Linked DNA regions of Saccharomyces cerevisiae S288C. Changing the gene in region 1 together with any one later gene gives a genetic interaction. Each region holds a gene or a part of one and is shown on either strand. Other genes may lie near its edges.

Region 1 (3,964 bases):
CACAATGTTGTTATGAGACATGATATTATAAATGCTGGTAACCAAAGCGAAGTGAATCCACATCTAATATTTGATAACTTTACTACCGCTTTAGGGAAAAGAGTAGTCTGTATTTTAAAGCACTTGTTCAATGCGGGGCCCAAAAAAGATTCCGAAAGAGTAATCACTTTTGCGAATAGGGGTGATTTCATTAGCGTTAGACAGCATGTATATGTGAGAACAAGAGAGGGAGTAGAGATTGCCGAAGTTGGTCCTAGATTTGAGATGAGGTTGTTTGAACTGAGGTTGGGAACTTTAGAAAATAAGGACGCTGATGTTGAGTGGCAGTTGAGAAGATTCATAAGGACTGCCAATAAAAAAGACTATTTGTGAATTTTTTTATAGATTTGTAAAGGTTAAAATAGAAGGCCGATGAGGCCTTATGTAAGTCTAATATGGTATTCTTAAAAAAAAAAAAAAAAAAAAAGCGTCTTAGAGGGAATATAAGAGAAAAGAAGAGATAGCATAACACATGATTTATTTTTATTTTTGCGTTTTTTTTTTTTCTTAATTGTTTATCAATGTATCTGTGAGAGTATCTACATAAAAAAAATAACCATATGAAGACATAAATTTAAAAGAACAAAACGAACGAAGGGAAGAGGTGCAGAAAGGAAATTTATGTATCACAACTATTAAATTCAGTTGAAAATCCACCATTTGAAACTTTTTTCTTAAGCACTTCACTGACTTTTTCAACTCTTAACTCATGTTCGGAGGATAACGTATTAGAAGAAGACACGTAAGAAGGATCTGTTGATAAAGGCATGGGCTTGCCTATTGCTGTATATGACGAAGATGTCGATAAAGGCGTCTGGGTTGCTAATTCGGGATTACTTGCCAAGTTTGCACTTGAACGCAAAGACGAACTTAACGGAAAGGAAGGATCTAGCATGTCCATGGTTAAATCTTCTTCTTCGCTGTCACTTGATTCTATTTGGAACTTGGGATTCTTGTGCATGTTTGCAACAGGGTCAACGTTTGATAAAATGGATTGTCTTTGAAATAGTATCGAAGATGACCGGTTTTTTGGGGATTTTGCATTGTTATTAGCATTATTTGAATATTGTCTCGCAGATTGCTGCGGAGATACATAAGGCGAAGTAGCTGGTAATTCTGTAGTTTTGATGAAGGGGTTGGAAAATGTCGTTGTTGCTGACGATGAAGAATAGGCTTGTGGTGGGGACCTCTTGAGGATGAAAGGGCATGAGTACGCTTGGGATTTCATAGGTGGTCTAGATGTAGGCGTATTATTGGCCTGTGCAAGTTTTTCATCATTCAACATATCGACGTAAGAGTAGAATCTTAGTATTCTGGAGTTTGGTTCGCCATTTGAAGTTGTGGTGGTCATCCCGGTGTTATTGATGTTATTCAAGGTGGGACGTGTAGCCGCAGAATGCGAATGAGATCTCGAAAGTTTAAGATCTGGCGATGCTGGCGAAGATTCTGATGAGGGAAGAGTGGCACTATTCGTTCTAGCCAACAGGGCCATGTTTAGGCTCACAGCAGAGGAAGGTCTTCTTGAATAAACCATATCGACATCGCTCAGGTCAGTGTTCTCATCGTTCACTATTGAGCAACTAGCATCTAAAGCTGGAGCCACCGAGTTTTCTAACGTACGACGGCGATGGTGATGATTTTGCATGTTGCAAATGGGGTTCAAGATGTACTCTTGATGTGCTAGCGAGCTTGTGGTGGAGTTCGACGCCGACCTAGACGTTGGTATGACGTTATCTAGCGGAGAGGAAACATTATTGGAGTTCTTCCTCAACGATGGAGTTCTAACCTCGCTACCAGAGATAGGTATCGGAGAAATGGTCTGCAAGTTGTAAAAACTATTAGATCTTGAGCTATGAGATGTGTTGGAGGCGGAAACCGGAGGTTGAAGAAATAAATCGTTTGAACTTGCCTCTTGCACGGTTCTTTCGAAGATAAAAGAAGGGTTGCTGTTGTTCGAATTTGACTTGTACACGCACATACCGTCTTTTTTGGCAGTTTCCTTTGACAGCACTTAGATTCTCCTCAAGCTCTTTTTACCGTACCTGTTCCTATTTGAAATATTTAGATCTGTGAAAGGATTAGTCTTTTATTCGTGATAAAAGCGAAAATCTAATCCCCTGGGCGCCGCGGAGTGCTCTTCGCCGAGATAAATATACTAAAAGAGAGGCTTTAATTAGTACCCGAAATGACGGTGAATAGTGGGATACTTTTATAATGGTGTTATGTTACATGATTGCCGATGAATGTGCTGTTAAAAAGACGCAGTTTAACGTTTGCACCGAGATGGCTGTGGTGCAAGTGTCGAAGTAGCAGGAGCAGGCCGTATTCTCTGGCACACGCGGTCGACACAAGTAAGATGGAGGCAACCAGGAGGAACGGTCAGATTGTGAAGGACCTGGGTAGATACTATCCGTCAATGTCAGAATCAGCACTCCACGATCTTTGCCAGGAGTATAAAGAAGTCACTATCGCAGACTTTAATGAGAGATTCTTGGGCAACCCAGCCACATTACACCATGAGGATAATCCTAATTTGTTACTTAGTATTAATGGCAGGATTAAAAGCATTAGGTTTTCAGGCCAGAAGATTGTTTTTATAGATCTTTACAACGGCAGTAGCGGATTGAAGAATGATACGCAACTGCAGTTGATCGTAAACTACAATAAAATTGGTGGGAGTAGTGAGGATAAGGCGAATTTCTCAGAATATATGAACTTTTTGAAGAAAGGAGATTATATTAAGGCGCTCGGTTATCCCGGGTTTTCCCAATCCAGAGTCAAGATGCTGTCCTTGATATGTAATAAGCTACCTATAGTATTGTCTGTTTCGCAACTGCCGTTACCTTCCAGACTGAATGATGAAACCAAGATCAAATCTAATAGAGTTGTTGACTACCAATTAAACGGCACTCAGACACTGCTAGTAAGGGCGCGTATCATCAAACTTTTGAGGAAGTTTCTCGACGACAGAAACTTCGTTGAGGTTGAAACGCCTATACTGTCATCAAAGTCCAACGGTGCCATGGCGAAGCCCTTTATAACGTCGTCCAAGGACTTCGACCATTTGGAGTTGCGTATTGCACCAGAATTATGGCTGAAGAGGCTTATAATTAGTGGTTTACAAAAAGTATACGAAATAGGAAAGGTCTTTCGAAACGAAGGCATTGATTCCACGCATAATGCTGAGTTTTCCACTTTAGAATTCTATGAAACTTACATGTCAATGGACGATATAGTCACAAGGACTGAAGATTTGTTCAAATTTTTGATTACTAACTTGCAAAAGTTCTTTCAAGATACCCGTCTGCCTGTCCCTAAGACGTTTAGTGAATTACATCTGGCACTATCCGAGAATAATTGGAAGTTTAGAAAAGTCGAATTCCTGCCCACTTTGAACAAAGAGCTTGGCATTGATCTAATGAACTCTGGATTGGATATCAATAAGCCGAGCGAACTTTTGAAGGCTTTACCGAAAGACATTGCGAAGAAGTATTTTCCTTCTGCAGATAACACTGGGCAATTATCTTCGCTGCAAATCCTAAATAAACTATCGGACGTGTTCCTCGAGCAGCGCCATTGTCAATCAACCTTGCCTACGGTAATATACCATCAACCTGCAATATTATCGCCCTTAGCCAAGACGGATCCGCAAAATAAGCAAGTCACGAAGAGATTCGAAGTCTTCATCAAAGGTAAGGAATACATCAATGCTTACGAAGAGGAAAATTGCCCCCAATTACAACTGCAGAAGTTTCTACAACAAAAGCAGATTAACGAATTGACAGGAAACAAAACTGAGACCTTATCGCCTGTTATTGACTACCAGTATGTTGAGACGATGAAATACGGTATGCCTCCAGTAGGTGGCTTTGGCCTTGGCATAGATAGATTGTGCATGCTATTTTGCGACAAGAAGAGGATAGAA
Region 2 (3,374 bases), on another chromosome or scaffold:
CTGAAAAGGAAGTGAAAGTAGAAGGTGAAGACGTGGAAATGACAGATGAGGGAGCAAAGGCTGAACAAGAACCAGAAGTAGATCCTGTTCCATATATTACAAAGGAGCATTTCGCAGAAGCTATGAAGACCGCTAAACGTTCTGTTTCAGATGCTGAATTGCGTCGTTATGAAGCATACTCACAGCAAATGAAAGCATCTAGAGGTCAATTCAGTAATTTCAACTTTAATGACGCTCCATTAGGTACTACGGCTACGGACAATGCTAACAGTAATAATAGTGCTCCAAGTGGAGCAGGTGCTGCATTTGGTTCTAATGCGGAGGAAGATGATGATTTGTATAGTTAGTTATATGCCAGGTATATTTTTATTTTAAATCGTAAATTCAAGTCATTTCTATAAAAAAAATCGTCAATTTTAACTCAATATTTTATGGCCCTTTTTATATTTATTTTCAAATTTGTCAAAAAAAGGAGAGCTAAATCATTAGAAAAAGAATGCATTATGGTATATTTATGTATATTAATATGTAAAATAAGAAAAAAGGGAGGCTGTAGGACCTCGGTCGTAAGAACATTTACCTGTGTTCTTCCGCCTTTTCCGAAAGTGCCATGAAGAAACGCAGGCCAGGCATAATTTCGACATTTAAAATCACGATTTGAAGTAATTTGACCAATTCGATTTCTTTACTTTTGTATCTTCTTTTATTATCTGTTTGTTTAACCCAGTTTTCAAGATCACAGGGCGCGCTTTACTAAAATTAAAAGGCTTAATTGTCGGTATTGGCCTATTTTCCTTGTTATCGTGTTTGGAGTCTATGTTGTATGTTCGCGGAGAAAACTTGTCGCTAATGTTATTGGATTCGTGTAGTTCGGGCAAAGTTCGTATTCTGTTACTATAATTGGATAAATTCGATCTTCTAGATTCCAACGTGGAGAGGGTCGAAGTGGAAGCTAAAGATGGGATAGACATATTGGACGATGAGCGCGAATGGGAAATGGATGTTTTGTTTACTATGTCTTTTTCTTGAGCAGAAAAATTTTTCAACGTGCGACAGTCTCTTTGCGATTTGTACAACTGCTCCTCTTTGATAGGCTTCAAGAATGGCGAGAGACATGTAATTAAATCATCTGTGGAAATGGTGACGTCCCAATCAAAATATTCTAATAGTTCCCTTTCAATAGTATTAACCTCCCTTAGGATGAGAAGGCCGTCCGTATATTCGGCCCAGTGTTTGTTAAGAGGGGAGGAATCATTTAACGTTTTTGCAGCTAATATTAGGCAACCTAAGAATATTCTATGCCTGGTGGTCTCTATACCATAAACGTTACTCGGTATTATTGATCTTAATTTGGCCAAATATACAGAGGTAGCCATCAGAGTCGGAGTTTGAACGTTAGAATGCTTGATCAGTCTGTTGATGAATTTAGTCAACGGTGGTGCTGGCAATGCAATATCTATCATACTATTCGTCTTCTTAATTTTGATAATGGAAGCTGTGGTCGATGCTAGATATTGCACCATTTCCTTAGATACAGCCTTCCTATTGAATTTCAGCAAGGCTTCGTAGTTTGACATCTTTTGTAGTAAAAAGTTGCTGCCGTATTGAAATTGCTCTTGTCGGATCAGGTTGTTTAGCACCGGGTCTTACTTTTATAAAGGAGAATTATAAAGTGAAAGAAAGGAGAACTTATAAGACTAAAGAAAAAAACACTTAAGAAGCACTTAAACTTGCATTAGATGTGTAAATCGATCAACCTGTAACATGTTTGAGGAAGGTCTCACACGTCTCCGAAGTTACAGCTACCACTTAGCGTGTCTGCGGGAACAATAGATCTCTTCCCAATTTGCACTAAATAGGTAACTAGCCAGGCCTATAAAAATCTTCGAGCGGAGAATTGACCGTAGTATCTGCCAAAAAAATCCACCTGCACCAGCATTTTTCGTGTTACGCGAAGTCTACTTTTCGCGTCATCAAAAGACGCTATAAAAATATAGCTGGGCTAATTTTATTCTATAGCTGGCCATTTTTTTATGCGATATCTGCTGGTTTTTTACAGCTGGAATGCCGTGACAGATGTAACAAGAATGTGTTTCAGCTGGCATTCTCACTCAGAAATGTAAGGCTAAAATCCGCTAAAATAGGGCTTCGCGTCTCATGATCTATTCACATTTGTTTCTAATAAACTATACTACAAAACGAAATTCTGTTGTGCAATGATGTAGGAAGCTCCATGAATTTGAGCAAAATTCCTAAATATTCTCGTTGTAATGAATAACGTTACCCTGAACAGTGCAGCAAAGCAGCTGATGTGCTGCAAGAAGAACACGAGCTGTAGTTGAGAAGCTTCGAAATATTAAACCTTTTATCAGAATGGAAATGGTGCAGAATTTGAGTTTCGAAGAGTGTACAAAATATTTTGTTGGTTTTGAAAACTTTTTTTCAGATAAAATTCGATATAAAAATTAGTTGCGTAAACATAATATGTATAATATAACGATCATAATAATGACTTGCTAGTCATAATCATCTTTGTATTGGTCCATCGATAGAATTACGAAGAAGATAAAATATAAAAAAAAAGAGAATGGTGAATTTCTGCGCTACTGTTCTTACTCATAAACTATTTCCAATAGAGTCAAGGGTTTTTTCGTCTGGATAATAGAAAAATGCCATTGCAATCAAAATATACATAGCTAGAGACATGACACCCTCCAACCAGTTTGACTCACCATCGAGAATTAAGTAATTGGATAAGAAAACAGCAATAAAAAGAGTAGCGGTTTCAAAAGTGGAGAAATTTAGCGTCATTGGAACATCGATCATCCAGCCCACAAGAACCATGAATGGTGTAACAAATAAGGCAACTTGTAAAGAGGAACCGATGGCAACACCTAGCGCCAGATCCATCTTATCCTTCATGGCCACCAAGACTGAAGTGACATGCTCTGCGGCATTACCCACAATAGGAATGACAATCAAACCTATAAATGTTTTAGATAGCCCGGTAGATTCAACAACGTTGTCTATCGTACCGACTAGAAAATCCGCACAAAAAGAGATGATCACAGTTGTACCTAGAAGTATCACCAATGATGACTTGACACTCAAAGAGTGATGTGGATTCCTGGAAATGGTGCTCATAACTTCATCGGTCTCTTCTTCTTGTTGCTCAAACAAGGCGTGATGGCTCCCTAGCTGGAAATATAAGAACAAAACGTAAACGATGAGAATAACAATAGAGGTGCCTCTGGATAACTCCAATATTTTTCCATCGATGAAGTGGTCTTCCTTGCCATGAGGTAGGGTGGCTCTAAAGGCAGCGGGAATCAGTAGGGATGCACACGCAATGGCAAGTAATGAGGACATTGTTT
Region 3 (3,911 bases), on another chromosome or scaffold:
AGATGGAATTATGAGAATTCAAAGAAACAACTGGATAAGAACGTGTCCGATGCCATGGACTCGTTATCTAAGGCGAAGGAGGACTTGAAACAGTACGGCAGCCACTGGTGGTCTGGATGGACTTCCAAGGTCGACAATGACAAGCAGGCTTTAAAAGATGAGGCCCAAAAGAAGTACGATGAAGCGTTGAAAAAGTACGATGAAGCCAAGAACAAATTCAAAGAATGGAATGATAAGGGTGATGGTAAATTCTGGAGCTCGAAAAAGGACTAGTTAGATAGCTAATTGTAAAGGGTTGGTTCCCGCATAACATATATACATATTCACATGTTTCTCATTTTTTATATTTGAAATCACATATGGTCTTTGCTGATTATGGATTGGAAAACGGAGTAAATTAGTGGCATTATTGGGGTATACGTGCATACATAAAATACCGTTATATATCTATATATATGGAAAAAAGAGACTTAAATGAATTTTTAGAGTAGGAGAAGAAGGTTGAAGAAATGAACAATCGCGGCCCTTCAGTTTTCTTTATTTGGTTGTGTCTGGATTCATAGAGGTTATTGTAGAGTTTGAATTTGATTTTGAACTTGGATTCGAGTTTGTGAACGCAGGGCTATTTTTGATGTTATTATTAATAGTATTCTTGTGTTTATTAGTATTATTGTGATTATCGTTAACCATGTTGGCAATTGATGGTGGTTGTGCCAGTTGTGACTGCAATTTTTGCTTTAGATTGAGTTTATCTCTTTCAATCATAGTGTTGTCCTCCTCTTCGGAAGAAAACCCTTCACTGCCACTGGATTCCATATGGAATTTGGATTTAGGTTTCCCGATCATAATGTTGGCAGCACTGCCGGGCCTATTGCTGTTTCTTCTTGAACGGGCGCTCCCTGAAGGTGACCTTTGTTGTTTAAGTAAGTACTGTTGGTTCGATGGCGATCTTGATAGTGCGGCCCCCGTAGTGCTTCCAGCGCTGGTTCCCCCATTGGCATTGTTGATCGTTGTGTTAGAGTAACGTCTAGATATGATGAAAGGGTTGGTGAAGTTCATATGCTGAGGTGGTGATGCCGAAGCTGATGGGGGGGAAGGCAAATGAGAAGGAGAATTCAAAAGGGACGACGAGAACGAGTAGTGACCTTGCATTGGGGGTCTTCTCAAGGGGTTCGCAGTTGATGATGTTGATGTCGCATTACTAACGTTGTTATTGTTGTCATCGGACAACATGTCAGCGTAGGAATAAAACCTTAGTAGTCTTGAACCATGGTCGTTGGGAGATCTTGGATGCGCAGGCGACGTTTCGTTATCAAAAGATTGTGACGAAAGACTTCTTGTCCTACCTAGGGCTCTATCCAGGCCGATGGTAGATGGCCTTCTCGAATAAACCATATCAACGTCATCAAGGCCAGTCGTGTCGTCAGTTACAATAGAACAGCCAGCGTCTAATGCAGGAGGGACGAAATTCTCTAAGGTACGACGGTGATCCAGTGGAGTCTGCACAACAAAATCCGGATTGTATGTCTGGTACGATGCTATTGACTCATTAGTCCTAGAAGGTTGCAAATGTAGATTCACAGCAGACGATCTCTGGCTTAAGTTATGGAAGTTCCTATTACTAGAATTATTATGATTGAACAAACTGGTCCTGCTGCTCTGCCTAGAGAGAGAGTTTGCAGCGTTGTTTGACACCGTTTTATAAAGGTATGATGGGTCCTCTACATTTCTTTCAAAAATCATAGAACTCTCGCTCATGGAGGGGGAAGGTGGCATATAATTATTGTCGTTCTCCCTCTGTGCCGCCACGTGGGAGTCGTGGTCTTGGTTGTGGTTGCTGGTATCCATCTTTGCCGTTTACGTTCGCTTTGCTTGAAGGTAGTCTATCACAAAAGCTTTCAGGATCAACCTTTTGCGCCTCAAGAAATTGCATATCACCAAAGGGTGAGTTTAGTCTGATACTGTTTGTTAATCACCTCACGACTGTTGCAACATTAATATGGCGCACACACCGTGTTACGTGATGAAAATAAAGATAATAAAGCGATAGCATAAATAAAATACCATTTAATACGCTTTGTAAAACAAGCACTAACAAGGCGTTGCTTAATAACAAAATAGTCAGCATTCAACAACGTGAGAAGGATAGCTACGACATCTACATCTGCAGTGTTGTTAAATTCGCTGCCAACAACCATTTATATGTCACCATACACGGTCATGCTCTCTTGCACCATTTTTCTCACCTATATAAAGTGAAAAAGTTTTCGATGTCTCTTCTTCCTTCCTAGTAAACTACACTCCATGTGTTTCTGAAAGGGACCTTCAGGAGGTTACGATCAAGTATCTTGTGACATGCAAGAACTTGATGCTTCGATGGGGGAAGTCTTATTTTCAATGTGTTGAAAAGAGTTAATTATGGAACGGTTGGTCATAGCTTTGTACAGCTCAATGTCGTCATGTTTGTAAGGATACAGGCGCGACTTGATCTGCGACTTACTGCTATCAAACGATAAATTATGTTTTTCTTCGTTTCCTTTTTTTTTCTTTTCAGTTTCCTTCCGTTTATTTTTTTGTTGGATTTATCATGATGAGCATTTATTTTACTGCGTTATCGTATTGACGGGGGCTGTTTAAGTACAGTCTGTTTTATAATCTATATTCATTTATATTTTATATTTCTTACCGAGGAAATTGACTCTTAACAGATTTGCTGAAAGGTTCATCTTACAAAAAAATTGGAAAACTTAAACTGAAAAAAAAAAAGTGAAGGAGTACGTGAAGAGCAGTAGCTTTCATAGGAATATGTACAATATCTTGTCTTTGTACTTTGCAAAACCAGCACGCAGCAGGAAGCTCTTGATAATATGGTCGATCACCAGTGGACGCCACTGCAGAAGGAGGTTATCTCAGGTCTGTCCGCGGGATCCGTCACCACATTGGTAGTGCATCCATTAGATTTACTGAAGGTTCGTTTGCAATTATCCGCTACAAGCGCACAAAAGGCCCATTACGGCCCATTTATGGTAATCAAAGAGATTATACGTTCGTCGGCGAATAGTGGACGTAGTGTTACGAACGAACTGTATCGCGGATTAAGCATAAATTTGTTTGGAAATGCCATTGCATGGGGAGTTTATTTCGGTTTATATGGTGTCACGAAAGAATTGATATACAAGTCAGTGGCAAAGCCAGGGGAAACACAGCTTAAAGGTGTTGGGAACGACCACAAAATGAATTCGCTTATTTATTTGTCTGCCGGTGCTTCCAGTGGGTTGATGACAGCTATCCTAACAAACCCTATCTGGGTTATAAAGACCAGGATAATGTCTACAAGTAAAGGCGCCCAAGGAGCGTACACTTCTATGTACAACGGTGTCCAACAACTGTTACGAACTGATGGCTTCCAGGGCCTATGGAAGGGCCTTGTACCCGCACTGTTTGGTGTTTCGCAAGGTGCCTTATATTTTGCAGTTTACGATACCTTAAAGCAAAGAAAATTGCGACGGAAGAGGGAAAATGGGCTTGACATCCATTTAACAAATCTTGAAACCATTGAAATCACATCGTTGGGAAAAATGGTCTCCGTCACTTTGGTTTACCCTTTTCAATTATTGAAATCAAACTTACAAAGTTTCAGGGCCAATGAGCAAAAATTTAGGCTCTTTCCTTTGATAAAATTAATCATTGCTAATGATGGTTTTGTTGGACTTTATAAGGGCCTATCTGCAAACTTAGTACGGGCCATTCCATCCACTTGCATTACCTTTTGTGTATACGAGAACCTTAAGCATAGGCTTTAGTAAATAAAGGCTATATGATAGATTTAATTTCTTGTAAATATCAAACGATAAAAATATAAAAAGTACGAAAGAAAAAGGGGAGGTAATCTAAACTGTAACGGGGAGGAA

What was found.
Region 2: of MLF3 (region 1) and PCL2, extra expression of one rescues a mutant of the other (dosage rescue), as found in Saccharomyces cerevisiae (one study listed by BioGRID).
Region 3: mutations in MLF3 (region 1) and VHS2 impair growth when combined (synthetic growth defect), as found in Saccharomyces cerevisiae (one study listed by BioGRID).

Annotation. Positions count from the first base shown.
Region 1 is NC_001146.8:486,108-490,071, forward strand, and holds MLF3 (Mlf3p), read right to left. Parts: upstream 2,018-3,964; coding exon 659-2,017; downstream 1-658. Other genes in the region: snoRNA-binding rRNA-processing protein IMP4, read left to right, coding at 1-372; lysine--tRNA ligase MSK1, read left to right, coding at 2,279-3,964.
Region 2 is NC_001136.10:233,130-236,503, reverse strand, and holds PCL2 (cyclin PCL2), read right to left. Parts: upstream 1,578-3,374; coding exon 651-1,577; downstream 1-650. Other genes in the region: AAA family ATPase CDC48, read left to right, coding at 1-347; VCX1 (Vcx1p), read right to left, coding at 2,617-3,374. UniProt on the Saccharomyces cerevisiae protein: G1/S-specific cyclin partner of the cyclin-dependent kinase (CDK) PHO85. Essential for the control of the cell cycle at the G1/S (start) transition. Together with cyclin PCL1, positively controls degradation of sphingoid long chain base kinase LCB4.
Region 3 is NC_001141.2:94,528-98,438, forward strand, and holds VHS2 (Vhs2p), read right to left. Parts: upstream 1,849-3,911; coding exon 538-1,848; downstream 1-537. Other genes in the region: OM45 (Om45p), read left to right, coding at 1-273; YIL134C-A (uncharacterized protein), read right to left, coding at 1,995-2,198; flavin adenine dinucleotide transporter FLX1, read left to right, coding at 2,868-3,803. UniProt on the Saccharomyces cerevisiae protein: Can suppress the synthetic lethality of the hal3 sit4 double mutation when overexpressed, suggesting that it is involved in the G1-S transition.